Linked DNA regions of Macaca mulatta. The protein of the gene in region 7 interacts with the protein of the main gene of each other region in a pairwise test. Links are inferred from orthologs where the notes say so. Each region holds a gene or a part of one and is shown on either strand. Other genes may lie near its edges. The genes, in order: SNX20, PHYH, FERD3L, GSTK1, GOPC, PRPF3 and FAM9B.

Evidence for each region.
Region 1: the proteins of FAM9B (region 7) and SNX20 interact in binary tests that used the Homo sapiens proteins (3 or more experiments, as listed by UniProt). The two-hybrid records come from large-scale screens. The link is inferred for Macaca mulatta from reciprocal best matches to the Homo sapiens genes FAM9B and SNX20.
Region 2: the proteins of FAM9B (region 7) and PHYH interact in binary tests that used the Homo sapiens proteins (3 or more experiments, as listed by UniProt). The two-hybrid records come from large-scale screens. The link is inferred for Macaca mulatta from reciprocal best matches to the Homo sapiens genes FAM9B and PHYH.
Region 3: the proteins of FAM9B (region 7) and FERD3L interact in binary tests that used the Homo sapiens proteins (3 or more experiments, as listed by UniProt). The two-hybrid records come from large-scale screens. The link is inferred for Macaca mulatta from reciprocal best matches to the Homo sapiens genes FAM9B and FERD3L.
Region 4: the proteins of FAM9B (region 7) and GSTK1 interact in binary tests that used the Homo sapiens proteins (3 or more experiments, as listed by UniProt). The two-hybrid records come from large-scale screens. The link is inferred for Macaca mulatta from reciprocal best matches to the Homo sapiens genes FAM9B and GSTK1.
Region 5: the proteins of FAM9B (region 7) and GOPC interact in binary tests that used the Homo sapiens proteins (3 or more experiments, as listed by UniProt). The two-hybrid records come from large-scale screens. The link is inferred for Macaca mulatta from reciprocal best matches to the Homo sapiens genes FAM9B and GOPC.
Region 6: the proteins of FAM9B (region 7) and PRPF3 interact in binary tests that used the Homo sapiens proteins (3 or more experiments, as listed by UniProt). The two-hybrid records come from large-scale screens. The link is inferred for Macaca mulatta from reciprocal best matches to the Homo sapiens genes FAM9B and PRPF3.

What each region holds. Positions count from the first base shown.
Region 1 is NC_133425.1:46,127,798-46,131,408, reverse strand, and holds part of SNX20 (sorting nexin-20), read left to right. Parts: intron 1-1,455; 5' UTR 1,456-1,464; coding exon 1,465-1,594; intron 1,595-3,062; coding exon 3,063-3,214; intron 3,215-3,611.
Region 2 is NC_133414.1:14,853,058-14,858,004, forward strand, and holds the start of PHYH (phytanoyl-CoA dioxygenase, peroxisomal), read right to left. Parts: upstream 3,007-4,947; coding exon 2,932-3,006; intron 1,303-2,931; coding exon 1,244-1,302; intron 1-1,243. UniProt on the Homo sapiens protein: Catalyzes the 2-hydroxylation of not only racemic phytanoyl-CoA and the isomers of 3-methylhexadecanoyl-CoA, but also a variety of other mono-branched 3-methylacyl-CoA esters (with a chain length of at least seven carbon atoms) and straight-chain acyl-CoA esters (with a chain length longer than four carbon atoms).
Region 3 is NC_133408.1:109,145,316-109,148,615, reverse strand, and holds FERD3L (fer3-like protein), read right to left. Parts: upstream 1,549-3,300; 5' UTR 1,496-1,548; coding exon 995-1,495; 3' UTR 915-994; downstream 1-914. UniProt on the Homo sapiens protein: Transcription factor that binds to the E-box and functions as inhibitor of transcription. DNA binding requires dimerization with an E protein. Inhibits transcription activation by ASCL1/MASH1 by sequestering E proteins.
Region 4 is NC_133408.1:183,293,966-183,297,842, reverse strand, and holds the end of GSTK1 (glutathione S-transferase kappa 1), read right to left. Parts: intron 2,415-3,877; coding exon 2,298-2,414; intron 1,941-2,297; coding exon 1,847-1,940; intron 1,234-1,846; coding exon 1,184-1,233; 3' UTR 887-1,183; downstream 1-886. UniProt on the Homo sapiens protein: Glutathione S-transferase that catalyzes the conjugation of glutathione to exogenous and endogenous compounds. Significant glutathione conjugating activity is found only with the model substrate, 1-chloro-2,4-dinitrobenzene (CDNB).
Region 5 is NC_133409.1:22,589,458-22,593,433, forward strand, and holds the start of GOPC (Golgi-associated PDZ and coiled-coil motif-containing protein), read right to left. Parts: upstream 2,801-3,976; 5' UTR 2,580-2,800; coding exon 2,295-2,579; intron 1-2,294.
Region 6 is NC_133406.1:116,798,755-116,802,920, forward strand, and holds part of PRPF3 (U4/U6 small nuclear ribonucleoprotein Prp3), read right to left. Parts: intron 3,459-4,166; coding exon 3,152-3,458; intron 535-3,151; coding exon 368-534; intron 1-367. UniProt on the Homo sapiens protein: Plays a role in pre-mRNA splicing as component of the U4/U6-U5 tri-snRNP complex that is involved in spliceosome assembly, and as component of the precatalytic spliceosome (spliceosome B complex).
Region 7 is NC_133426.1:8,568,430-8,573,219, forward strand, and holds the start of FAM9B (protein FAM9B), read right to left. Parts: upstream 3,140-4,790; 5' UTR 2,873-3,139; intron 2,116-2,872; 5' UTR 2,027-2,115; coding exon 1,999-2,026; intron 1,499-1,998; coding exon 1,378-1,498; intron 1,199-1,377; coding exon 1,167-1,198; intron 1-1,166. UniProt on the Homo sapiens protein: May play a role in meiosis.

The DNA.
Region 1 (3,611 bases), on a different chromosome or scaffold from region 7:
GAGAGAATTCTGAAGTCAGCCCAGCCTGGGTCTGTATCCTGCCCACCACTCACCAGCTCTTTACCTTCGGCAACGCTAAGTCTCAGTTCCCTTATCATAAAAGGGAGCAGCAAACAGTCCTGAGTGCAGACAGTGGTCAGGTTAGCGTGAGAGTGTGTGTTGGGTGTCAAGCGCACTGCCAGCACGTCACAAGCACTGGAGACAAACTCAGCTTTGCTTGTTGCGCACACTCACCAGCTGCATGACTTTGGGCTAGACCTCAGTTTTCTCATCTGTTATGTGGTGGTAATGATAGACTTTTGTGAGCATTAAACTAGATTAGGGGCTGTGAAGAACCTAGGTGGGTATGAAGTGGGTATAAGCTATCAGTTAATTTTGCTGATAGATAGATAATTGATTGATTGATCGATAGAAGATTCATACCAGTATCTACCTGCTCTGAACACTGAGCTTTCTTTTTTTCTTTTTGAGATGGTCTTGTTCTGTCATCCAGACTGGAGTGCAGTGGCGTCATCGTAGCTCACTGCAGCCCCAGTCTCTTGGGTTTAAGGGATCCTCCTGTCTCAGCCTCCCAAGTAGCTGGGGCCACAGGCATGCATCCTGGACAATTTTTGTTAATTTTTTCTAGAGACGGGGTCTCACTACATTGCCCAGGCTGGTCTCAAATTCCTGGGCTCAAGTGATCCTCCTAACTCAGCCTCCCAAAGTGCTGGGATTACAGGCATGAGCCACCGTGTTCAGCTTGAACACTGAGACTTCATTCGCATGTGTAACATAAAAGTGAGTGTCTGCACAAGCCAGCATCTTTCGCTCGAGTAATCACTAAAGCCAATACTTTTGCTTGAAATCATCTCATTTAAGGCCGGGCGCGGTGGCTCAAGCCTGTAATCCCAGCACTTTGGGAGGCCGAGACGGGCGGATCACGAGGTCAGGAGATCGAGACCATCCTGGCTGACACGGTGAAACCCCGTCTCTACTAAAAAATACAAAAAAAAAACTAGCCGGGCGAGGTGGCGGGCGCCTGTAGTCCCAGCTACTCGGGAGGCTGAGGCAGGAGAATGGCGTGAACCCGGGAGGCGGAGCTTGCAGTGAGCTGAGATCCGGCCACTGCACTCTAGCCTGGGCCACAGAGCAAGACTCCGTCTCAAAAAAAAAAAAAAAAAAAAGAAATCATCTCATTTAAAACTCTGAGCAATATGTAAGGATCACCTCAATTATACATGGATCATCACAATAGGTGAAGGGTCTTCTCTGCCTTGGAGTAACCTGCCCAGCAAAGGGGCAGACCCAGGTCTGGGATCTGGCAGCCGGGAGAGTGGGGAAGGTTGAGCCGTGGGGCCATTGTCATTCCCTCTGACTCCCAGGAGGGGGCATGACACAGCTCCTAGGCACCCCAGGAGACACCGGGAACCCCAACTGGAGTGGGTACTCACTGTTCTCTTGTTCCTCTGGCAGGCTTGGAGCATGGCAAGTCCAGAGCACCCTGGGAGCCCTGGCTGGAAGGGACCCATAACACAGTGCACAGCAAGGACCCAGCAGGAAGCACCAGCCGCTGGCCCTGACCTCCCACACCCAGGACCTGACAGGCATTTAGGTGGGCTTGAGGCTTGAGACTCGGTCTGGGGGAGAGGTCTGAAGGCATTCAAAGTACAAATGTGGGTCACTTTGGCGGATATAGCAAGAGGCCCGGGCAGCTCTTGTAACTTGGGTTATCCCAAAGCAGACACTGAGACACAGATTTGGTGCAAGCTGTTTATCTGGGAGATGGTCCTAGGAGTCACGGCAGGGGAATGGGAATGGCAGAAAAGGGCAAGAGGCCAGGGCAGGACATCAGTGAACAGATAGGCATGATAAGTGGCTGAGGCTCAACCCTAGCGGGGGTCTTCTGGGAGACCTTGGAATATATCTCTGGGTTGTGCTATCCTGGGGTGAGGAAGCCGGGCTGTTATCTACCAGTCCTGCCCTGCAGAGGAGAAGGGACGCTCCTGGGCCTGCTGCTATGGCCCTAGAAAGCCCTCAGGGAAGCCAGTGGCATGTTCTGGAAAAGTAGGTGCCAAGAGGGCATGGTCCAGCCTGGGGCATGGACAGCATCTGCTGTAGTGCCATCTCCTGGAACAAATCTTTTCTTACAATCCTTCAAGATGTCCTCTACTCAATACCTGCTCTGTTCCTGGCCCTATGCAGGGCACTGGGGAAACAGAAACAGGAACAAATCAAACACTGCACTAGTCCTGAGGTTTGGTAGAGAAACAGATCAGTGAAAAATAGATGTGCCATGCAAAACAAATAAATAAAATGAAAAAGTATAGGAACAAGGTGGGAGGCTCTTACTCTAATGCCAAGGGGCATGTGCAGTGATGTGGGGGCTTGGTCTTGAAGGGTAGACTGGAAAAGGGCTGGGAACCATGCCCTTTGCGATAAAATGCACAATTATTTGCGCTTCTCAAGAAGCTCAGAGGGGCGCAGGGCTCAAGTGGGGTTTAAGAAACACTGTGTTCGTTTTCCAGGCATGGAAATAGAGGGTTGGATGCCAGGCAGAGGAGTGCACGTCCAAGAAGAGCCTAGCATGTGAGCAGTTAGATGAGAAGGTTAGGAAGGGCCAGCCCGCTGACGCTGGAACATAACATCCTTATTGCTGCCTCCCCTGCCCACTGATGTGTGCTCAAGGAGTCCTGGCGACAGTCACAAAGTCAGGGCTGCAGGGAGCACAGAAACACACAAGTCAGTCTCTGCTTGTCCAGAGCGGGGATTTCACCATGGCCAATCTGCAGACCAGAAGTGGACGATGCAAAATGCCCACACCACATTCCACAGCTAAGAAACCACTTGGGGGTGATGGGCTATTTGAGATTGTCAGTGGTAGGGTGGATTCTGCCAGGCTGGGCACAGAGGTCTGTCTGATGCCCCAATTGGGCCTATCAATGGCGGAGTGGGAGAGAGGGATATTCAGTACTCTTTAGGAGTTCTGATATCCCATCTCAGATAGACCCAGCCATCTCCCCAAGCCATGCCTCAAAAGTGCACTGAGAGGGTGCAGATCCTTAAGGGTGTTGTCCTTCCAGACATGCATAGTGGCCTGAGCTCCAACTCCAGCATGACCACGCGGGAGCTCCAGCAGTACTGGCAGAACGAGAAATGCCGCTGGAAGCACGTCAAACTGCTCTTTGAGATCGCCTCAGCTCGCATCGAGGAGAGAAAAGTCTCTAAGTTTGTGGTAAGCAGAGATCGGGAAATGGTGGAGCCTCTCTCACTCTGCTTCCTTCCCGGCCCTGAATAAGTCTTGTGGGGCCTCAGGTTTCCCAACTATGAAATGGGTCAGCACACTTCAGGCTCAGCACCTGCTAGGGTCTGTGAGGATTCGAACCATGGAAGTCATGCTTCTTGGTCCCAAGAAGGAAATAGCCCAGTTTAATCCCATCTTATCGGGTGTCGGTCACCTGTGTCCTTTCTTCACCAATTTTGCCATATCCCTGTATCCATTATAATTATTACTACTTATTTTTTCTTTAAATTGGATCACTTTTTAAAAACACAAAGTACATTTATTTCAAAGAGAAATACCTTAAATGGAAAACCAGTATCACATGGCACAAAGAAAAAGTAACATACTA
Region 2 (4,947 bases), on a different chromosome or scaffold from region 7:
ACAAAGTCAGGAGATCGAGACCACAGTGAAACCCCTTCTCTACTAAAAATACAAAAAATTAGCCGGGCGTGGTGGTGGGCGCCTGTAGTCCCAGCTACTCAGGAGGCTGAGGCAGGAGAATGGCGGGAAGCAGGGAGGTGGAGCTTGCAGTGAGCCAAGATCGCACCACTGCACTCCAGCCTGGGTGACAGAGCGAGACTCTGTCTCAAAGAAAAAAAAAAAAAATTCCTTCTATTTCTCTGATGTTTCTGTAATGAATACATATGATTTTTCAGATGAGAAACAAATTCAATAAATTTTATATTTTTAACTGTCCAGTTGATGCACTCCAAGAAGTAAAGTAACAAAATCCAAATAAATGTACAGCATACCCATAAACTGAAATCACCCAACCTATTCCTTAAGATTGGAATTGTGGTTGTATGAGAATATTTAGGAAGGTCAAGATCTTCCCGTTTAAAGGTGATTTAAGATAAACCAAAGATGCTAGTTAATATGTCCATATAACCAAATTACAAGCTTAGCTTTTTTTTTTTTTTTGAGATGGAGTCTGGCTCTGTCACCTAGCCTGGAGTGTAGTGGTGTGATAGCAGCTCACTGCAACCTTGACCCCCCAGGTTCAAGCAATTCCCCCGCTTCAGCCTCCTGAGTAGCTGGGATTATAGGTGCACACCACCATGCCCAGCTAATTTTTGTATTTTTGTAGAGGTGGGGTTTCATGATGTTGTCCAGGCTGGTCTCGAACTCCTGACCTCAAGTGATCCACCCGCATTGGCTTCCCAAAGTGCTGGGATTACAGGCATGAGCCACCGTGCCCGGCCACAAGTTAATTTAAATATGATGTGTAATAACTGAATTTCTAAAAGTCAGATTATAAGGCTGGTGTGATGGCTCAGGCCTGTAATCCCAGCATTTTAGGAGGCCAAGGCAGGAGGATTGCTTTAGCCCAGGAGTTCAAGACCAACCTGGGCAACATAGGAAGGGCCCATCTCTATTAAAAATAAATAAATGTCAGATTATGTATTTTCTGGTATTTTTCCTTCTTTCTGAATCTTAAAATACATACAGAAAATTAGTCGGTCTTCAAAATTTTCCACAATTGTACTAATTAGAATAAATCCTGGAAACAGAGGATTTGTATAATAAAATTCTAATCAGGTAACATGTGGTATATTATATCATTACCACTCACGAAACTTTTGTATACATAATAGATTTCAAAATTAAAACTTAAACTACTTACTGGAATTGTTGAGGATGGAAACTGGCAGAGGCAATAGTCCCTGTAGTGGGATGAGCTACCTAGGATGTGAATTAAGGCAAATAAAGTAAAATACAGAAGGCCAGGTGCGGTGGCTCATGCCTGTAATTCCAGCACTTTGGGAGGCTGAGGCAGGCTGATCACTTGAGCTCAGGAGTTGCAGACCAGCCTGGCCAACATGGTGAAACCCCATCTCTACTAAAAACACAAATTAGGCCGAAAGCGCTGGCTCACGTTTGTAATCCTAGCACTTTGGGAGGACGAGGCGGGTGGATCACCTGAGGTCAGGAGTTTGAGACCAGCCTGACCAATATGCTGAAACCCCATCTCTACTAAAAATACAAAAATTAGCCAGGGGTGGTGGCGTTCATCTATAATCCCAGCTACTCGGGAGGCTAAGACAGGAGAATCGCTTGAACTTGGGAGGCGGAGGTTGCAGTGAGCCGAGATCGCACCACTGCACTCCAGCCTGGACGACAGAGAGAGACTCCATTCCAGGGGAAAAAAAAAAAAAATACTACTAGTACTACTACTAATAAGAATACAAATTACACTCGGGAGGCTGAGGCAGGGGAATAGCTTGAATCCCGGAGGCGGAGGTTGCAGTGGGCCGACATCGCGGCACTGCACTGCAGCCTGGCCACAGAGCAAGACTCTGTCTCAAAATAAAAACAATAATAACAATAATAATACAAATTCGCCTGGCATCGTGGCGCAACCCTGTAGTCCCAGCTACTTGGGAGGCTGAGGTAGGAGGATCTCTTGAGTCCAAGAGTGAGCCGAGATCGCACCACTACTGCACTCCAGCCTGGGTGACAGAGAGAGTCCCTGTTTCAAAAAAAAAACCCACAAAAGCAAAACTCTAGAAATTCCTTTTAAGGATCTCTTTTCTATCCGGTAACTGCAGGCAGTTGACATAGAATTGCATTGTTTCTTTAGCTTAATTGGTTACTTTCGGAATGTCACTCTCATCAGTCAACATGTTGTCTTTTCTTTCTCTCTGTTTCTCTCTTTTGGAGCGCACTGGCCTTCACGGCTCACTGTAACCTTGGAGTCCTGGCCTTGGCCTCCAGAAGAGCTGGGACAAATAGGCAAGGCGTGTGCCCCCGCGCCAGTCCTCACCCTCTGTCCTTCCCTAAATAGTGTCTTTATATAACTCGGTGGCAAGGCCGTAGTCCAGCAGGGAGGCCGTCCTGGGCAACGCCTGCCTGGCCAGCTCCTGCCCGGGAGGGCACCGTCCTGTACCCTCCCGTGGGAGCCGGGTCACCGCCTGCCTGGGCCCCTTCCAGGCAACCCTGCGCGCCTGTGCACCATGCGCCTGTGACTGGACATCTCTGGGTGTCTGGACAGCCGCAGGAGTCACACGCAGCCGGTGAAACGACATCTCCACAAAACAAGGAGCAGAGGCCCCCAGGGATCCCGGAGAGCAGCGCGACGCGGCAAGTGCCCCGAGCCCAGGGCGGCCGCGCGTGTCCTCGGGGGACGCAGCCTCCTCCCCGCTCCCCGGCTCCGGGAAGAGACGCGACCCAGGCGGGGACCCGGCGCGGAGCGAGGAGGCGCCGGGGCTGGGATGCGCGCGACGCCGAGGCCTCCACTCGGACCCGGGCCACCACTCAGGCTGCGGCGCCGGCGCCCGGTCCAGCCCGACACCCGCGCAGCTCAAAGGATACGACGGCCCCGGCCGAGGGGCGGCCGAGGTGGCCCAGTACGATCTGCAGGCGGGCGGCGGCGCGGGGCTGCTCCATGGCGGCGGCACGGGGACCCCCCCACTCAAGGTCTCGGCCCCATTTAGCTCCGCGGGCGGCTCCGCCTCCAGGCGCGGTCCGGGGCAAGACGCGGGCGGGATTAGGGGCGGCGCCATCTCGCGGGCCGGGCTGCTGGGGCGCCCTAGTCCGCTAGGGTCCGCGCGCCGGGCAACCGCGCGGAGCTGACGTGCTCCCCACACCATGATCCTTTCGTCCTTTCTTTTCTTTCTTTCTTTTTAAAAAGAGACAAGATTTTGCTCTGTCGCCCAGGCTGGTATGCAGTGCCCGATCATAGCTCACTGCAGCTTTGAACTCTTGGGCTAATTATAATTTTTTGTAGAGATGGGGTCTCCCTACGTTGCCCAGGTGGGTCTCAAACTCCTCCCCGCCTCCCGCCTCGACCTCCCAAAGTGCTGGGACTACAGGCGTGAGTCATCGCCCCTGCCCCGCACCCTGTTTCTATTCCATCACCAGGACCCTCACTGCCTCCCGGAGGCTCGGGGACCCAGTGACCAGGCCGAGGTCACTCCGTGACAAGTGGCTGGGCCAGGACCTCACTCACGCTCCTAACGTCATGGCTTCCATCTATTTCACCCCACGTGACTGCTCCTTCCATTGACAGCTGAAAGAATAAAATCTTCGATTTAAACAAAAAGTTTGCCAGGCACGGTGGCTCGCGCCTGTAATCCTAGCACTTTGGGAGGCCAAGGCGGGCGGATCACAGGGTCAGGAGTTCAAGACCAGCCTGGCCAACTTGGTGAAACCCTGTCTCTACTAAAGATACAAAAATTAGCTGGGTGTTGTGGCGCACGCCTGTAATCCCAGCTGCTGGGGAGGCTGAAGCAAGAGAATCGCTTGCAACCGGGAGGTGGAGAATGCAGTAAGCCAAGATCGCACCACTGCATTCCAGCCTAGGACGGGGCAAGACTCCGCCTCTAAAACAAACAAACAAACAAACAAACAAACAAACAGGTTTTTAACCAGATGCGGTGGCTCACGCCCGTAACCCCAACGCTTTGGGAGGCCGAGGCGGGAGGATCACTTGAGCACAGGATTGCTAGAGATCAAGACCAACCTAGGTAACATAGTGAGAACACCTGATCTACAAAAAATTAGCCAGGCCTGGTGGCAGGCACCCGTAGTCCCAGCTACTCGGGAGGCTGAGGCAGGAGAATGGTGTGAACCCGGGAGGCGGAGCTTGCAGTGAGCCGAGATCCAGCCATTGCACTCCAGCCTGGGTGACAGAGCAAGACTCAGTCTCAAAAAAAAAAGAAAAAAAAAAAAAAAAATTCCAGACATTGTGTGAGGAAGCATTGCAAAACTTTCTGTTAGCTGTTGCATGTAGCCCCCAGTCACCTTCCCCACGCTTGCTCGATCTATCACGACCCTTTCATGTAGACCCCTTAGAGTTGTAAGCCCTTCAAAGGGCCAAAAATTTCTTTGTCAGGGAGCTTGGTTTTTTGAGACTCAAGTCTGCCGAAGCTCCCAGCCTAATAAAGGCTCTTCCTTCTTTAACCCCGTGTCTGAGGAGTTTTGTCTATGGCACGTCCTGTGACAGGAGGATCACCTGAGCCCAGATCGTACCTCTGCACTCCAGCCTGGCCAACAGAGTGAGGCCCTGTCCAAAAAACACAAAAACAAAAAACAAACAAAACTCCAAAACAGCAACAATGAAGTTTTGAAAATAAAAATAAAAAAATAAAAATGCTAAGATTCATCCCTAAAAGTCATATATGCCATTCAAAAGGGGTATTTCATTTAGTGGGACTCCAGCCCATAATATTATAAACAGTTCGGTAGGTCATTAAAAAAAAAAAAATGAATAAAATAAATGACCTCCAGAAAAGTCTGATGCAGACAGCCCAGTAGGGTGTAAATTTCTTAGAGAACTGGAGCACCTCTTTGTAAGATTTCTTTTCTATTCCGTAACTATGGATATTG
Region 3 (3,300 bases), on a different chromosome or scaffold from region 7:
CTCCAACCCCTGGCCGGGGGGACAGTTGGAAACGCTGACTGGTGGCGAAGCTGCAGGGCACCCAAGGCCCCCTGCGACCCAGGAGTGACCCAAGTGCACTCGCCCCTTACTCTGGCCTGCGGCCTGAAGGCACTGGAACAGGGAAGCTGACGCTGCACTTAAGATGCAAAGCGTAGATTTGCACTCTGGCTAAGGCACTGAATGAACACCACTGTGGCCCTGGGACAAGGAGCCATGGTCCCTCTGGAATCAACCAGGTGAAGAGGGAGAGGGAGAAAGGAAGAGAGAGGGCTCGCGCGCAGGAGAGAGGAAGGGAGGGGAGGGAGAGGAAATGGAAGACAGCAAGGGTGTTCCTTCTCAGAGGTCCCACTTTGTCAGCAGTTCCCCTCGACTGCTCTGCCTTCCATGTTTCCTTCCCTCAGTTCCTGGACAAGCATCGGAGGACCAGACAGAACCCTCTGGCTACCAGCAAAGCTCGCATCCCCGCACCCTCGCGGCGTCTGCTCCAGAGCCTCCTCGCAGGCGCCTGCTGGAGCGCCTGCTGGGGATGGCGCACCACCGACTCTTGAGGCTTTTTAAAAAGTAAGAATTTCTACTTTATTATCTCTATGAAAAAAAAAAAAAGTAAAGAGGAGAGGTTAGATTCTATAGAAGCTCCCAAGTTTGCCATTTGCGAGGAGGGTTCTCTTCCCACCCACCTAGCCCACGGAAGCTCTTAGGAGCAGCCTGGACGGCCCGGACTCATCCTCTCGCGCTCTGACATCCCCGCGCGCCCCTGACCCCGACTTCACTTAGGGCGGTCGCATAGATATGAACTCTACAACAGCCACTCTGCTCGGGGACTTTAGGGATCTTACAATCTCGAAACCGACCTCCAGAAGGCCAGACGTTCTGTCTTGGGGCGTCCCTCCTGGCCCTTTAGCCTCACCCAGTACCCGGTCCTGACACACCCCAGCACTACCAGACCAGGAAGGGCAGACTCTCCCCACCCGGTTCAGCCGCTTTCCTTCTTCTCACAGCTCTCCAAGAGCTCGGTCATGAAGGAGATGTAGACGATGGCCAGGCGGAGGGTCTCGATCCGGGACAGCCTTTTCTCGTAAGCAAACGTGGGCACCTTCCTCCGCAGCTGGTCAAAGGCCTCGTTGAGGTTGAACATTCGCTTCCTTTCGCGGATGTTGGCGGCCTGGCGCTGGGCGTAGGTGATCACCCTTTTCCTCTTGGGGCGGCCTAATAGGGAGACGCCTCTCCCGCGCTCCTCTTCCTCCTCCTCTTCTCCGTCCCCCTGGTCCACTTCGCACTCCTCTTCTTCTGGGTCCCCCTCTTCAAACCGCGCCATCCTCCTGGGTCTTCCTTCTCGGAGCGCAAGGGCTGGATCCCCAAAGGAGACCCCGGGTGCGAAGTCGCAGAGGAGAGGGCGTCCCGGGGAGGCCAGGGACAGGTCTGCGACGAAGTCCAGCACCGTAGCGTCCACGCAGCTCTCTGGATAGGCCGCCATCGCTTCGGCTTGGCCCTGCCTCTCATCGGTTTTCCGCAGGGAGGGGCGAGGCTGCTGGTGGAGATTCTTAACAGCCTTGAATCTGATGGGGCACCATCACCGAAGGGCCAGGGAACATTAAATATTTATAACCGAGCTGATAACAGGATTAGTCGCACCGATAAGAAATGCTCTGACAACGTCCCTTCTCTCGAAGCTTATGGAAGATGACAAGCTTGAGCACGCATGGAAGACTCAAAGGGACAGGCCTCCAGTTCTGAGATCCTTTTCTGTGCGCCACCCGGGACAGTTCCTTGTTGGCAACAACCCCCAGCTCTTACCTGCTGTGCTTTTTGTGTCTGTCTTCACCCCTGCAGCCAACTAATGTTCTCCGGGCTCCTTATCTCGTGTAGTTCTTTAATTTCGTGTTGGATTTTCAAAGCGAGGATGTTTTCCACGGCGATGGCTTCTCCTTGACTTCAGGATAGGAGTCTTGAATCTTGCCACCATCTGCCAATGGATGTGGAGCAAGTGCATGTGCTTTTAATGATGTCCTGAAGAGGGGCCCTGCCTGCCTGGGATCGAGGGGAGCTGTTTGTCTGGTATCCCAGTGCAGCGGCTGCTGAAAGGCAAGACCTTCCATTAGCTTAAGTAAGCATGGCAGGGGGGCCGAGAGTGCATTCCCCAGAGTCGCTGTTGGAACCGGCTTTCTTTTTCTTTCCAGGGCATCGCAAACAGCTCTCCTGCCACGTTACAAACCCTTGCTTCTAAAGTCTGTTTGGATGCAATCAGCCTAACAATTGAGATACTTGACTTTCCTTTCCCTACCTTTACCTCCTGCTCATATAAAATAGAGGATTTTATTCCAAGAGGAAACGTGATGACGGCAATAAAATGACAAATTTAAGCTCAGGACATTTTCTATGCTCGGGCTTTGCTGTATACCTTTCAGTGTGGGGGACAAAGCAAACTCTCCCCACAAACAAAACCACTTCAAGCTCTTTTCAGAAATGCGATTTGCCCTTGATAAGCCAAAGAGTCAATCAGTTCACCCTCTGCTGAGGAGTCTTCGGACTTTTAAATTGCGGATCGAGTATTTGTTCCTGAACAAAGAAAAAAACCTAACACTTCCATCTGGCTTATTTTCCTCATTGATTTGTATTGTCCTACAGTAAGATTTAAGAGCAGAAACAATGACTTATTGAATTATATTTAAAGGAGCTTTTTGATTATCGTTAGATCGTTGAGATAAGAAAGAGATTTTAAATTTGGCATAATAAAAATAAGAGTTTACTCATTTTATATTTTCTCTAGTATCCCTAATATTTTAACAAAAGGGTCCTTTTTCTTTGTTTGTCAATAACTATATTTACTTAATTATTCAGTAATGTGTAAAGATTTATTTAAAAGACCCATTGGGTCAAAATGACAGATTAGAAGATAATTTTAAAGGTAGATTAGAAGAAATAGCCTAAAAAGATGAATGTGGAAACATCTCGGTTCAAAAGAGAACCGCCCAGGACATCAGTCCGTATTAAGGGGTAAGTTGTGGCTAAGATGGTTCACTCAGTACATTGGACAGCTCCCAGAAACCAGAAACCTCCTGTTTCTAACAGGTAATCTCAATTCATTTTCTTCTTCATAGCCTCTCTCTGTGTAATCAGAAGAGTATAACCTTGAATTCTTCTTCTTTTAACCCATTTGTGTCTGGTGTCTCTGGATCTTCTAAGAGATTTTATCTTCTTTTGCTTGTGTTTACTGTTCATTCTCCAGTTTGCATTGTGATAACTCAGGCAGAGAATAATTGAAATTTGTGATCCTGGAAG
Region 4 (3,877 bases), on a different chromosome or scaffold from region 7:
AGGAGTACTTAATCTGGAGATGTTCTTTTGTCACAGATAAGCTGGCTAAAGTTGATTTTAAATCCTGGAGGATGCTACAGATATGGGAAAGGTGAGAGAGGAAGACAGAAAGTAATGGGAGATAAAAGGGGAAAATGGAGTATGGGAAGAGCCAGACCCAGAGGGAGAGATAGAAGAGAAGGTGGCATGACTCCTGAAACTCCTCTGGTCTATGTAAGGCTCTGTACTTGGTTCCCAACAATGGGTCCAAGTGAGGTTTCAGCTTCCAAATACAGAGTATTCTCAAGGAAGTCAAAATACTATTGAAACAAGGGATTCTGATAGTTGCACAATGGGCACAGCTAGAGGCAGGGACTTTGGATCAATTACTGGGGGAATGGAAAAGTTACATGTATGTAGTAGGGAACAGGGGTTATACTTGGAGTTTTCTCAGAATCTGCACTGAGGGGTAAGGGAGCTATCTATGAAAAGGTGTGCAACTTCTCCAATCCCCAGCAACTCCAGCCAGTTTCCCAGTACTGCCTTGCCCTGGTCCTGCAGGTGTGGCTGGATGCAGTTTAAATATCTGGGCACAAGCTCAGCCAGACTCTGGTTCCCTCTGCTGTTCACTCCCACTGGGCTTCTGGTCCCAGCCCCATCTCAGTCACTGTGGCTGGTCAGAAGACAGTAAATCCCAAACTGGTTAGTTGCAAAGTCCATCTGGCTTGGTTTTCTGTTGCTGATAGACCAGGGGAGTTTCTGTGTGAGAGAATGGGGGACTATTCTCACTTCTTCCACAGCCCCAAGGAGGGCTGGATGGCTGATCTGGCTGGAAGTACCAAAAGAGCTCTCCTTCACCTATCCCTAGAGGAGGCAGGATGTGACCCCAGGAATGAGAATACACCAGGGCAGATACAGACACAGAAACATTTTGCCTGAGGGCATTAGGTTTATTTTGTGGGAAAGCAGAGTGGGGACTCTCTGAAAGGCACTTGTGAGGCATAGAAGTAAAGGTTGCCACATGACTAATGGTGGACCCCTTCCTGGTGTCCTTGGGGGTAGGGGAAAGATAGACAGCTCCCAGGGCCACAGAAAATACCTCTATCAGATAGAGAAATCCAAGTCCCAGTGCCTTATGGTGGAGCTGGGGTTCAGCAGATGGCCTGCTGTTTTTATACGAAGAGTTTGCTTCCTCCGGGCAATCTTAAAGTCTGGCATTCACAGCTGGAGGCACAGGGCCCATCCACTTCTCTCCTGGATGAAGGAAATAACAGACTCTGCACACCGTTCTCAGGTGTGCTGGCAGCAGGAGTTGGTCCCACAAGGTCCCAGGGGTTTTCTAATAAGACCCTTGCTTGGCTTCAAGGTACAGAAGGCTTCCTTCTCTTTTAATGGCGATGAAGACAGCCCCTGCCCATTCAACGTTGAACAGCACGGACTGCATAAGGCTTTGCTACTGGAAGTACCAAGAATATTTTTTGCTCTGAGCCCCTCCTTCCAGTCAACTGATATAGTGGGGGTGGAGCTGGGGTTAAAGGCAGTTCAGTGTTGAATCTTTTTATTTTTTGAGACAGTCTTGCTTTGTCACCCAGGCCGGAGTGCAGTGGCATGATCTTGGCTCACTGCAACCTCCACCTCCCAGGTTCAAGTGATTTTCCTGCCTCAGCCTCCCGAGTAGCTGGGACTACAGGCGTGCACCACCACGTCCGGCTAATTTTTGTATTTTTAGTAGAGATAAGGTTTCACCATGTTGGCCAGGATGGTCTCAATCTCCTGACCTCATGCTCCGCCTGCCTCAGCCTCCCAAAGTGCTGGGATTACAGGCGTGAGCCACTGCACCCGGCTCAGTGTTGAATCTTTAACTTACCCAGCAGGAACGCCAGCAGCTCCATCCGGTCAGAGCCAAATATCATGTGGGTTTGGCCATCCACATGGGCCACGGTGATGGGCAGCCCAAAGGCCTGGAGAAAGCAGTTACAGTGCAAGGAGGAAGGCAAAGGAGCAGGTATTAGGTGGGGGTTGAAGGCTTCGAGTCAGTACTTTTCTGAGTTCACAGAAGGAAAGAGGTGTAAGAGGCTCCATGGCCCCAGGTGCCTTCCTGTTTCTAAGATGCTGTCTTTTCTCTCACTATCCATCTCCTTCCTTTCCTTTCCCTGAGCCCAAGGAAAAGAAGGGAAAAGATGAGGGTTGTCTAAGAGCATTGAGGAGAACACTTGGAAAGCGAGCTTTTGCACAGAAGCATGGGGACTCACACCTAGAGATTCTCAAGTCTCCATCTTCAGGATGGAGGCTGGGAACACACATAAAGAGCTGCTCACCCCGTATCTGCAGGCTGCCTCAGTGGTCTCCTTCAGCTGGTTCTTCACCTTTGGCGTTGAGATCTTTTCCAGAAGCCCCTGGGCTTGTTCTGCAGACATGCCAGCCTTCTCTGCAGCCTAAGGGAATATAGTAGGGAATACAACTGTGGCTGCATGATATTGGATGGGGATCTCAGAGGAAAACTCTGGTCTTTTTATTTTCTGCCCCCAAGTTTTCCTGGCAATGCCCTTACCCACCCACAAGTGGAGATCTGTCCTTGCCAAGAGGAACTATTTCCTTTCTCCCAAATCTTGAGATGGGTGGAAAAGGTAGATGGCACAGAGTCAATCACAGAAATTAACACCAGGGGACATCTTAGAGACCAGCTAGATAGACCTCTTTATTTCACAAATGAAGAGCCTGAATCCAGAGGTGATACATTACTTGCTCAGAGTTACAGAGCATGTTGGTAGCAGAGCCAACACTAATATTGAGGTCTCTAGAATTCAAGTCCAGGGCTCTTTTCTTCCTACTTCTCAGAGTTCCTGAGTATCTCATGCTTTTTTCGAATCAAGAGCTAGGCTCTAATTCCAGTGGAACTTCCTGAGGACCTTGTAACAAGGCACATGGCTGGAGCCACCTACCTGGCTTCAAGACAAAGACAAAGGCTTCAGTTTGTGGTTTGGGTATAGTTTGGGATAGGTGGTTCTTAACCTTGGCTGCCCATTTGAAACTCCTGAGGAGCTTTAAAAAATCTCCACGTGAGGTCATCCTTTAGAACTAGAGCCAAGCACTGTGGCTTATGCCTGTAATTCCAGCACTTTGGGAGACTGAGGCAGGAGACTGCTTCAGCTCAGGAGTTTGAGACCAGCCTGGGCAACACAGTGAAACCCCCATCTCTACAAAAAAATTTAAAAAAAAATTAGGCATGGTGGCACATGCTTGAAGTCCCAGCTACTCATAAGGCTGAGATGGGAGATCACTTGAGCCCAAGAGGTTGAGTCTGCAGTGAGCCATGATCATGCCACTGCACTCCAGCCTGGGTGACAAAGCAGGACATTGTCTCAAAAAAGAAAAAAAGAACAAGAACAATTACATCACAATTCCAGGGGGAAAGGGTTAGCTCCAAGGTACTCCAGGCGATTTTAATTCACAGCCAAGATTGAGAACCACTGCATCTTGACTTCCTAGATCAGAAGTGCGACCCAGGAATTCATGTAGCCTGTCCTAATGAGACACTGTCTTTGACTTGGTTAAATTAGAGAATTATGTACCACACAAAATGTTTACAGAAAAATGGTTAAGTAAAACAAAAATAAGTCCACTCAATAGAACCTCTATAGAAACAAAGAACTATACTTTCAAAGAGTTAAAAACTGCATGGAGTCCAGGCACAGTGGCTCATTCCTGTAAACACAGCACTTTGGGAGGTGGAGGCAGACAGCTCTCTTGAGCTCAGGAGTTTAAGACCAGCCTGGGCAACATGGTAAAACCCCTTCTCTCCAAAAAATAAAAAAGTTAGCCGGGCATGGTAGTGTGTGCCTGTAGTCCCAGCTACTCGGGAGGCTGAGGTGGGAAGATCGCTTGAGCCCAGGAGGCA
Region 5 (3,976 bases), on a different chromosome or scaffold from region 7:
AACTAGGTAATTTATAAATAAAAGGAATTTATTTCTTACAGTTATGGAGACAGAGAAGTCCAAGGTCGAGGGGCCAGATCTCGAGAAGTCGAGAGCCTTCTTGCTGGCAGGGGATCTGTGCAGAGTATGGAGGCAGCATAGGGTGTCACATGGCAAGGGGGCTGAGCATGCTAACATGCTTACTCAGGTCTCTCTTCCTCTTCTTATAAGCCACCACTTTTACACTCCTATGATAACTCATTCATCCATTAATCCAATAACAAATCAATCTATGAGTGGATTAATCCATTCATAAGAACTGAGTACTCATAATCCACTCTCCTGTTAAAGGCCCCATATTGGAGATTCAGTACTGTCACATTGGGGATTAAGTTTCCCATACACGAAATTTGGGGGACACATTCAAATTATATCATGTGGCAAAAGCTACTTTTGATCGTTGTTGTTTAAAGCTAGAGAACTAATGACCGGGCACAGCGGCTCATGTCTGTAATCAAAGCACTTTGGGAGGCCGAGGCAGGAGGGTGATCACTTGAGGCCAGGAATTCAAGACCAACCTGGGCAACAAAGCACTCCATCTCTTTTTTTTTTAAATACAGTAAGATAAAATAAAATGAAATAAAGTTAAAGTACTATTTCTATAAAACATTAAATGTAATTTCACTATCAGAATGAAATCAGAAAAATAGCTTTCTTGTGAAAATTAATACTAATAAAGAAATCAAGAGATGTTTTCATTTACCTACAGTAAGAAGTGATTACCTTCATATTAGCACTTTTTTTTTTTTTTTTTTTTTTTTGAGATGGAGTCTTGCTCTGTCACCCAGGCTGGAGTATAGTGGCCGGATCTCAGCTCACTGCAAGTTCCGCCTCCCGGGTTTACGCCATTCTCCTGCCTCAGCCTCCCGAGTAGCTGGGACTACAGGCGCCCGCCACCGCGCCCGGCTAGTTTTTTGTATTTTTAGTAGAGACGGGGTTTCACCGTGTTAGCCAGGATGGTCTCGATCTCCTGACCTCGTGATCCGCCCGCCTCGGCCTCCCAAAGTGCTGGGATTACAGGCTTGAGCCACCGCGCCCGGCCATATTAGCACTTTCTAATCTTTTCAAAAAGGATAGAAGAAATTAACAGTTCTTGCAGTGGAGAAGAGCCACAATTCTTGGATATGTACATCTATGTTAATCAAGGATTAATTATGCCACATACTTCATGGCTAATAGGAGAAAAAGAATGCTGACCACTAGGCAAGGAGAGGATGTTTATCTGACATTCATATTGATATAGATACAATGGGCACTCTCAATGACAACGAGTAATGATTTCTTAGGAAAGCTAATGTTCGAAGAGTTTTGCACATCACTGATTATCCCATTTTTATCTATTATACTTTTTGAAAAGAAAGACCCATTCTCTTAAATTGCCTAGTTAGAAAATACTCTTTATGCAATAATGTTAATCTATCTTGATTTATAAATATTGTAATAATGCCCTTTTTAAATTTTCTGCACAACGTGATAGTTTTTTGTTTTTTTTGAATCACAGCCACTCCACCCTCACCCACACCCAGCATCAGAGATTAAAGCAAATGATGCTTTATACTCTCTCAAAAATAAATCTAGACTTTGGAAAATTACACAGTAATGTACAAGCATATAAAAACTCAATGTCAGAAGTAATTTCAATAATTGCAGGAAGCTCTCTGGAGGTATCTGCCTGTAATTTAAGGACCAACTATGGATGTAAACCGAGACAATGATACTATCGTTATGCACCACGAAATTTTCCTAAGAGCTTTGATCAGATTCCCCTAAATAGTTTATGCATGTCTCTGTATGCAGTAATAGGCGCTGACCTGAAATATTTAAAATGAAAATAATCAGGGCTGTATCTGTCTGAACATATACAAATTCGGTTTATCAATGTGAAAGTAGATCTGCAAAACTCAATTGTCAAAAGGTGGCCTACGGTATTTTCATGACAGAGAATCTTTGTTAGGTTTGTTAATGTAACACGTAAAAGGGGGGCTAGTGTATGTAATTAGTTTCCGCCTCAGAGAGATACTAGGAAGGTGGACGACAGTACCCCGGGGAGACTCACGTGTCGGTCTAGGGCCCTTTTTGTCCCCCACCCTCACCTCACTCCTCTCCTTCGCACACACAGACATGCACTCTCCCATCACATTTGGAAGCCCCGGTGGGCAGTTTTCTAGGGTCGTTTCACTGGAGCGTTAAATGGGATCTGACGCCACCGGGCAGCCCGGGGTTGGATGCCATAGCCGCCAGCGCCCACGGCTCACCTCCAGCTTGTGGTTGATTTGAGACACAGACTGGGCTTTGTGGCAAAGCTGTGCAAAGCAGGAGCTCAGGCTGGTCATCTTCTGTCGCCCCTCATAAGTGATATCCGCCTGGTCTGGATCGATCTCGCCCAGGAGCAGATCCACATCCACAAAAGCCTTGTCGAACTCCTTCTCCAGCACCTCCAGCCACCGGAACATGGATACCCCGCCGGGGGCCCCGGCGGAGCAGGAGGCGCCCCCTGGGCCCCCTCCGGCTGCTGCTGGGCATGGACCGCCCGCCGACATGGCGCCGTCAAGGGCCTCTCCCGACTGCTGAAGACCCTCTCCGCCCCACCCGCACGAAGGGAACTGCTGGGACTGAGGGGACCCCCCGCGCGCGCGCGCGCACCTTCCGTCACCTCGCTTCACCTCGCGCCGTTAACGCCAGCAACACAGCCACAGAACCGCAGGAGTAACGAGGCTGAGGCTGAGGCGGCAGCGGCGGCGACACACGGAAGATTCTGTCTGTCCCACCTCCCAGCTTGCCCCCGCTGCGCATGCGTAGCGAAGAGCTGGGCGGACGCAGCCTGGAGGGACAAAATGGGCGGGGCCAGGATGCGACCTTGGCCTATGAAAGGCCTCAGCTTGGGACCTGCCTGTTAGCCGCCATATTAACAACTGGCAAACTACGGCTTGAATCCCTGAGAAACGGAGCCGCGTGGTTTCTGCATCCTGGTTGGAAAGGCCCGAGGATGAGAAAGGTGTCCACGTCGCAGAAAGGAAGGATTTCCGCCGGTTTGACTTAACAGTTGGCGGGAGCTATTCCAAAGTCCTCCCAGAAAGTTGCTGCGGTGGCGTCTGGGGTCAGGGAGGGGAGAGCAAGGAAGGGCGGTGTGAGCATGCGCAATAGCCACGTTTTACCTTTTGGATTCCAGTTCCTGGTTAGGATGGAGTGGGCGTACACCCTGGCTGTTCTTGGTAAACCAACCCCAAATTCCAGGTGTGGACTGCGTAACGCTACGCATTGAAGCGGCTGACCAGATTTTGCGGAATTAATAGAAAACTTTTTGTATTGTGATTAAGGGTCAGGTAGACCTGGTGAACGTTCAGTTCTTACCCTCTGTCACATACTACCTGTGTCACCTTACATGTCTTAGTTAACCTCGAAACCAAGTTTCCAAATTTTACTTAACTCAGTTGTAAGATAAACTCTTAGCGTCACTTCTTGGCACACGGTATTCCTCTTAATACGCCATAGGTCACACATTTCAAAAGCAACTACAGTAGTGCTTCACTTAAGATGGGGATATGTTCTTAGGAATGTGTCCTTAGGTTAATCATCCCCTAGGGAACATCCTAGAGTGTATTTAAACACAAACCTAGATAGTATAGCCTACTACACACCCAGGCTGTATGATGTAGCCTATTGCTCTTAGGCTGTAAACCTGTACAGCATGTTGCCATTCTGAATACGGTAGGCAATTACAATACAGTGGTAACTATTTGTGTATTTAAACTTACCTAAACATAGAAAAGGTACAGTAAAAACATGGCATATACTCTTATAGGATCACCATAGTTTATGTGATCCATTCATGGCTGAAGCCTTGTTATTTGGCACATTTGAAAACGTACGGCGTTCCCACACGTGACATTTCAGAAAATCAAAATTGTGAATTCATATATTTACAAATATATTGAAT
Region 6 (4,166 bases), on a different chromosome or scaffold from region 7:
CCAAAAATACAAAAAGCAGACAGGCGTGGTGGTGCACACCTGTAGTCCCAGCTACTCGGGAGGCTGAGGTTCAAGGAGAATTCAAGGAGAATCTCTTGAACCTGGGAGGTGGAGGTTGCAGTGAGCTGAGATCGTGCCACTGCACTCTAGCCTAGGTGACAGAGTGAGACTCCCTCTCAAAACAAAACAAAACAAAACAAAAAACACAGGAGCTTGTGTACAGTTACTTATCTTTCTTGGATTTTAAAATTTTAATTAATGAATGAGTACCATCCTTCCCACTAGCTTTACTAAAAGGTATTAACTTGAATCTTAAACTCGGCTGATTAAAAACTGTTTTTTTAAAAAGGTACTAAAACAAACTCACAGATCAAAGCCATTGGGAATTATGTAAGAGTCCCACCACTCAATTTCAGGAATATCTCCTTCCTTTAGCTCCTTCTTTGGAGCTATGAGGGCAAGCCTAGTCGAAGTATGGATGCCTGTTTTTCGAGCTGCTTGTGAAATCTCTGCCTGTAGCTTCTCCAGTTGAGCCTAAAAACAAGATAATCCAAGACAGAAAGATAAATTGGAATCATAGAAAACAGAATTTGTAGAATCTCAATTTTTTTTTTTTCTTTGAGATGGAGTTTCGTTCTGTTGCCCAGGCTGGAGTACAATGGCATGGTCTTGGCTAACAGCAACCTCTGCCTCCCAGGTTCAAGCCATTCTCCTGCCTAAGCCTCTGGAGTAGCTGGGATTACAGGCATGCGCCCCCAACTCCAGCTAATTTTGTATTTTTAGTAGAGATGGGGTTTCTCCATGTTGGTCAGCCTGGTCTCAAACTCCCGACCTCAGGTGATCTGCCTGCCTCGGCCTCCCAAAGTGCTGGGATTACAGGCATGAGCCACTGTGCGGGGCCAGATTCCCAATTTTTTTTTTTTTTTTTGAGACGGAGTCTCGTTCTGTCACACAGGCTGGAGTGCAGTGGCGCCATCTTGGCTCACTGTAAGCTCCACCTCCCAGGTTCACGCCATTCTCCTGCCTCAGCCTCCCGAGTAGCTGGGACTACAGGCATCTGCCATCACGCCTGGCTAATTATTTTGTATTTTTAGTAGAGTAGGAGTTTCACCGTGTTAGCCAGGATGGTCTCAATTTCCTGACCTCGTGATCCGCCCACCTCGGCCTCCCAAAGTGCTGGGATTATAGGCATGAGTCATGACGCCTGGCCAATAATCCCAAATTTTAAAACATTTCCCCTTTGAACTCTTTACACCTAATGCAACAAATTCATTCTGAAAGTTTAGAAAGGAGTTGTTCTGCTTTATTTTATCCTTTATTTAGTTCATTTACATAGATCCTCACCTTCACCCTCTCCCTTCACTCCACAGTATATGCCTGCAGTAAATACACAGAAATAGAATTTTATGAAAACCTCACTGAGAGGATAAAAAGAAGGCAAAGGTCATTCAATATACAATCAATTCAACTCTCCAGGTGTACTTTCTGCAGGAAATTTTAACTCCAGGCAAGTCTTCCTCAGTCAGTCAGAGTGTTTCAAATTGTTTCCCTCCACTTAGTTGTATGTGGAGAATTTTCAAACTCAATTGAGTATTTCCACTTATGTAGAAACTAATTAGGAAGTAAAATCTGTTTAAAACTTTTTTTTTGAGACGGAGTTTCGCTCTTTCGCTCAGGCAGGAGTGTAGTAGCGCGATCTCGGCTCACTGCAACCTCCACCTTCCAATTGCAAGTGATTCTCCTGCCTCAGCCTCCTAAGTAGTTAGGATTACAGGTGCCCGCCACCACGCTCGGCTAATTTTTGTATTTTTAGTAGAGATGGGGTTTCACCATGTCGGGCAGGCTGGTCTCGAACACCTGACCTTGTGATACACCCACCTCGGCCTCCCAAAGCGCTGGGATTATAGGCTTGAGCCACCTCGTCCTGCATATTTTCAAATTATTCATTGCTTTAAATCAGGGGTCCCCAACCCACCAGTCTGTGGCCTTTTAGGAACTGGGCTGTACAGCAGGAGGTGAGCAGGAGGCAAACCAACAAAGTTTCATCTGTACTTACAATTGCTCCCTATTACCTGCATTATGGTCTGAGCTCCACCTCCTGTCAGATCCGCGGTGGCATTAGATTCTCATAGGAGAGTGAACCCTATTGTGAACTGCACATGCCAGGGGGCTGTGTTGCACATTCCTTATGAGAATCTAATGCCTGATGATCTGTCACTGTCTCCTATCACACCCAGATGGGACCGTCTCGGCAGGAAAACAAACTCAAGGCTCCCAATGATTTTAGACTATGGTGAGTTATATAATTATTTCATCATATATTAAAATAGAATAATAATAGAAGTCAGCACAGTGGCTCACGCCTGTAATCCCAGCACTTTGGGAGGTCAAGGCAGGCAGACTACAAGGTCAGGAGTTTAAGACCAGCCGGGCCAACACAGTGAAACCCTGTCTCTACTAAAAATACAAAAAATTAGTCAGGCATGGTGGCGCACGCCTGTAGTCCCAGCTACTCAGGAGGCTGAAGCAGGAGAATGGCTTGAACCCAGGAAGTGGAGGCTGCAGTGAGCTGAGATTGCACCACTGCACTCCAGCCCAGGTAACAGTGCAAGACTCTGTCCCCGCTCCCCTGCCAAAAAAAGGCGGGTGTGGTGGCTCACGCCTGTAATCCCAGCACTTTGGGAGGACAAGGTGGGCAGATCACCTGACGTCAGGAGTTCAAGACCAGCCTGACTAACATGGAGAAATCCCATCTCTACCAAAAATACACAATTAGTCAGGCGTGGTTGTGCATGCCTGTAATTCCAGCTACTCGAGGAGAATCACTTGAACCTGAGAGGCAGAGGTTGCAGTAAGCCGAGATCATGCCATTGCACTCCAGCCTGGGCAACAAGAGCAAAACTCCATCTCAAAAATAATAATAATGATAAAGTACACAATAAAGGTAATGTTCTTAAACCATCACAAAACCATCCTTACTCCAGGGGAAAAATTGTCTTCCATGAAATGAGTCCTTGATGCCAAAAAGGTTGAGGACTGCTGCTTTAAATGACCTATTTATCTAATTTCCTAGAACATAGAGATTTTACAATGTTTTCCTTTCAGCTTCTTAACTTTTTCTAAATTCTGTGTTATACTATAAGCCAGATACCTTTGTCCGTAATCGCTGAGCAATCTTCTCAAATTTGCCCTTGTCGTGGAATTTAAAAGTGCGTCTCTGGCGCTGGGAAGGGGCAATGGAGACTCGGGGGTCAAAAAAGGTATTGGATTCCATGTCTTCTGATGGCTTTTCTTTTAGTTGCTGCTTGAATTGTTCCCTCTTCACAGCACGAATATTGGCTTTCAGAGTAGGCATGCGGTGTGTCAGCTCAATCTCCTTGCCTGTTGCATCTACAGTGCGCCCTTGCTCATCCAGGATCAGTGGTGTAGGTTTCGTTTGGTCTTTTAACTCCACCTTCCTGAAAAATAGCCCGCAAAGAAATAAATCCTGTATGGAACATTAAGGCAAACAAAAAAACAAACAAAATAAAGCCAGGTGTGGTGGCTCAAGACTAGAACCACAGCATTTTGGGAGGCCAAGGCAGAGGGATCACTTGAGCCCAGGAGTTAGAGACCAATCTGGGCAACACAAGGCGATCCCATCTCAACAAAAAATTTAAAATTAGCTGGGTGTGGTGGCATATACTTTTGGTCCCAGCTACTCAGGAGGTTGAGAAGGGTCACTTGAGCCCAGAAGTTGAGGGTGCAGTGCCTTCTCCATAAGAGTTATTGGATGGACGGGCGTGGTGGCTCACACTGTAATCCCAGCACTTTGGGAGGCTGAGGCAGGTGGATCGCTTGAGCCCAGGAGTTCGAGACCAGCCTTGGCAACATAGTGCAACCCCATCTCTACAAAAAATACAAAATTTAGATGGGCACCTGTAGTCCCAGCTACTTTGGAGGCTAAGGCAGAATTCCTTGAACCCAAGAAGTGGAGGTTGCAGGGAGCCGAGATCACGCCACTGCACTCCAGCCTGGGCAACAGAGTGAGACTCCCTCTCAAAAAAAAAAAAAAGACGGGCCGGGTGCGGTGGCTCAAGCCTGTAATCCCAGCACTTTGGGAGGCCGAGACGGGTGGATCACGAGGTCAGGAGATCGAGACCATCCTGGTGAACACAGTGAAACCC
Region 7 (4,790 bases):
ATTTGTGCCCATAGTGCTGTGTTTCAGAAAACTGTAATACTGCAAGGAATGCTTTCCTAAACATGATTTCACATCAGAGACCTACCATCAATTGCTAAAAACAGTTTTCAGCAATCATAAAAGATTTGTACCATAATGCAAATATTTTTTACATACAGTCTCCATCTATAACGCCCAATGTATTAGGCAGCTCACAAAACCAGCACTTTTTGTCACCAAGCAGAGCAAAGCTTTCCAAATATACTGCTTGTATGAATCATCGCTATCGAAAAGCTGAAAACTGAATTGAGCTTTTCAAAAGTAAGAGTATTGTCTCCATCATCTTTACAGAAATTTTCTCAAACTTTTTTGAAAATATGGTCCCTATAACAGTGCAACTAATATTTCACACAGCAATATAAAGTTTATGAGTTTTTGGATCCAATTACATGTTTCTCACTAGATAGAAAAGTTGTCCTTTTGTACTACACAGTTTATTACTGGAATAATAATGGAAAATGATTTTAGAGAATTCAATTTTCTCTTGTACTTCAAATAAAACAAAATCAGAAAGCTGTGACAATAGAATAGCTAAATTAAGAACATGAAAAACTCATATTAAAAACTCTGAGTACATATGGACAGGAAGAAGGGACCAACAGACAACTGGGCCTACTTGAGAGTGGAGGGTAGGAGGAGGGTGAGGATCAAAAACCACCCATCAGGTACTATGCTTATAACCTGGGTGACAAAATAATCTGTATACCAAAACCCTGTGACATGCAATTTATCTATATAACACACCTGCACATGTACCCCCAAACTTAAAGTGAAAGCTTAAAAAAAACCTGATATATGACTTAATCTGCGTACACTAAAAGGAACGAATAGAGCTGTTTCTCCTCCAATGTCCTCTAATATTCTCCAAACAATTAAATTTCCACGTGTATGAAAGAAAAGCCATCCATCTCGCTTCACCATTATTAGAAGCATTCTCACATTCCACATCAACAATCAAAGAGGTAAGAAAAATTTATCAAACAGATTACATTAAATACGTATGTTAAATGCTACATATGATAAGCCATTTAAGACAGTCTTGTCATCCACTGATTCATATAACTTACTGCAACAGTTGCATGATTGAAAACAATTTTCATAAACGACAGATAACTCCTAAAATATACCTGCAGTATCTTCTGGCTTCTTGGTATTAGCCCTGTAAAAAAAGTTACATCAAAATTTTAGCATAATACTACACAAAATGCCATGTTTGTTGGGAAAAGAAATGTCTTATGTGAAATGTTCTGCACAGAATAGAACAGTGATGACATGGTCCAAAGGTGACTTTTCCTAAAAGACCCTATCCCACAGGCAAAAGTGACTTAAACACTTTACCCCGTGTGCTCGTCTTTTTCAGCAAAAGGTTCTCTTTCCCCATGCTCATCAGTTACATCTTCCTCCCTTGTTTCTGTAAAAGGGTTTCTTTCCTCACATTCGTCACTGACTGGATCCTTTCCTGCATTAAAATTTAAAAGACAAACCTTTTTTAGAGGAAGACACTGTTGTGGACTTTTTTTGTGGAGAAATGTACTTGTTGTAGACTTTTTTTTTTTTTTTTTTTTTGGCTATCTGCCAATTAAGGCTTTAAAGCAGAGCTGTACATGGAATCACCGGCTTCTGACCATTTTATCAAGGCACTTTTGGAAGCCCTTCGGGTTCAAGTCCCAGTAAACAACATACTACACGTCAGACCCCTTGGATGTCATGACTGCACTCATGGAGAAGAGCTGCTCTGGGAGCATCTGTAACCCCGCTATGAGGGGAGCCTTTCACGGGAAGCCTAAGGCCCTTGAGCCTGCTTTGAAAACCTGGGGCATCTTAGCACGTGCACGATGGACTCCAAAGCCACGAAGGGGCCCGGGTCCTTGGGCTACCCCTGTGCCCCCAGCGCAGAAAGCAGACAGACCGTCCTCTTGGGCGTGCACTTTCTTCCGGGTCACCTTGGGCTGTATTTACCTGCACGCTCCTTCCCCTGGGCCGCCATAAATTGAGCCTCCAACTGGGCCTTGGCAGCCCTCCTGCCCACAGGATCCGTGGCTGGCTGTCCTGGGAAGCTACAGGTGATCCCTGAACCTGATGAGGGCAAAGGCACACTAAGGAAGCAAAGGAACCCTGGCATCGGAAAGGAAAGCCATTGGGATCACAGGTTCAAGAAGGGTGGGGCTGGCACGCCCTGGGTCTCCTGTGGGAGCAGGAGGGGACCGAAAAGATGCCAGTGTCCCCTCCTGTCCTGGCCCGTCCAGCCCGTCCAGCCCGTCCCCGGGGCTGGCTGCAGAGCTCACAGCTGCCCCTCACACCTGAACTCCACGGCGTCTGCGGGATCCTCGCCGCACCTTTGGGACAGAACTCAGCCCTACCTCTGGGTCCCCCAGCGACCCCGTGTGGCTGGGAGGGCCACCGGGTGACACAGGATCTCCCCAGCCACCTCCAGAGGAATGTCAGGGGCTGCACTGTCACTCACCCGCCTGGATGCACAGGGGACCCCTGATGACCCCAAGTGTCCTGTCCTGACGGGAGGCCGGGCAGGAGGGCCCCACTCAGACTGTCCCCAACAACACCCTCGCCCCACCCCCACTTCCCCCCACCTTCCGCACCTCCCCCCAACACATGCACAAGCCCTCCTGGGCCCTAGGGATCACCCAGGCGGCTCCAGCTCCCTCCCTGCCCTGGCCCACCCCAGCCCACCCTCAGGGCCTCGCCCTGACCCAGGCCCCAGGCGACCACGCCAGGGGCATTTCCTCACAGGTCAGCGGGCGGCCCAGCGCTTCACACCCTGGTTCCCAGAGGGCCTCGTGCCTGCGTTTCCGCCTCCCCACCGCGAGCGCTTCACCTGAGGGACCCCTGATGTGGCGCCCTCAAAGAACCTGCAGACAACAGCACCACTAGGATCTCTTAGAAAACGGGTCCTCTCAGGAGGCTGAGGCAGGATGATTGCTTGACCCCGGGAGGCGGAAGTTGCAGTGAGCCCAGATCGCGCGGCTGCACTGCAGCCTGGGCGGCAAGAGCCAGACTGTCTCAAAAAACAAAAAACAAAAAACAAAAAACAAAAAAGAAAACAAGTACTCAGTTCTCGTGAGAGCTGCCGACAGCACTTCCTACGCTCCTCGCAGATTGGTCGACTCAGTGCACATGCGTGTGACAGGCCGTGTGGGGCCACGCCCCCTGCTGGCACGCCCTCCCCCTTCCCCTAAGTGACAGCAAGTGGTTGCTGTGGACTGAGGTGGGGTTGGCCCTTTGGGGCCTCTGTTCCCACATTCTTTCAGCTTCTGCTCCTGGGGAGGGACACAGGACTTGGTATGGAGGCCAAGTGGACAGGGCCTAGAACCTCGCCCTGGGGCTCTTTCCAGCCACCCCTGCCCCTTTGGCTAGAATGGCCATCATCCTATGGGTTGGGCCCAGGCTCCCTCCCATGCCCTGTGTGCTTCCAACATGCCCAGCTGCATCCTTTTCAATCAATGGATTGTGCTTTTATCGTTTTTGTTTGTTTTTGAGACTGTGTCTCACTCTATCGCCTAGGCTGGAGTGCAGCAGGGTGATCTCAGCTCACTGCAACCTCGGCTTCCCGGGTTCAAGTGATTCTCCTGCCTCAGCCTCCCAAGGAGCTGGAATTACAGGAGCCCAACACCAAGCCCTGCTAATTTTTTTTTTTTTTTTTTTTAGTAGAGACGAGGTTTCACCATGTTGTCCAGGCTGGTGTCGGACTCCTGACCTCAGTTGATCTGCACGCCTTGGCCTCCCAAAGTGCTAGGATTACAGGCATGAGCCACCGTGCCCTGCCCATAACCATTTTTGTTTCCTCACTACTTTTCTTTCTCATCCTCATGCCCCAGACTTGCCCACAAACCCTCATGCTCCAGACTTATGCAGACATATGCCACAACCTTCACCCACAAATTAATGCCTTAATACTTATCGTTAACTCAGCTTTTTCCCACCTCCAGTCGCCTATAATAGGGGGAGAGTTGTTTTGGAGTTAGGAGTAAATAAATATTGCCTAAAGTTTGTAAATCAAGATATAGAGTTTCATTATATTATTGAAATTATATCCCAGCACTTTGGGAGGCTGAGACGGGCAGATCACAAGGTCAGGAGATCGAGACCATCCTGACTAACACGGTGAAACCCTGGCGACAGAGCGAGACTCCACCTCAAAAAAAAAGAAAAGAAAAGAAATTATAAAGGCAGTCATCAGGAAAACTAATCCACAGCCTTAAATGTCTATATAACCAAAAAGAGCACACACAAAGAACACAAATCCTGTAGTAAAAATTGAAAAATAAAGAAAATACTCCAGAGACCATAACATAAAGGAACAAAATTAAGGCCAAGTGAATCTGTTGAGCAAGAAATATGAATGAGATAAACTCAGAATCTAAAGGAAATGACTTCCAACTTGGATCAAAATAAAAATCTAAGTATATGCTGTATGTAAGAATGGAGCTAAAACAAAATGATACAAAAAATACATGTCAGACAAATATGAAGAAAAGGAAAATATGGATCTGGGAATTGATAGCTCGCAAATGTAAAATAATGCAAAAAATAAATGAATAAACTAAAGGCAGAGTATACAGAACAAGAGAAGGGCATGATCTACTCTGACAATCTGACAGAAATCATTTTGTGCTTAACACAGCATCAACATGCCTAAACCCAAAACCGTAGAAAATAAAAGTAAAACAACCAATGAAAATGAAGAGTGATATGGGAGTTTGAACTCTGTCTGTCCAGGAGAGACCAAATACAAA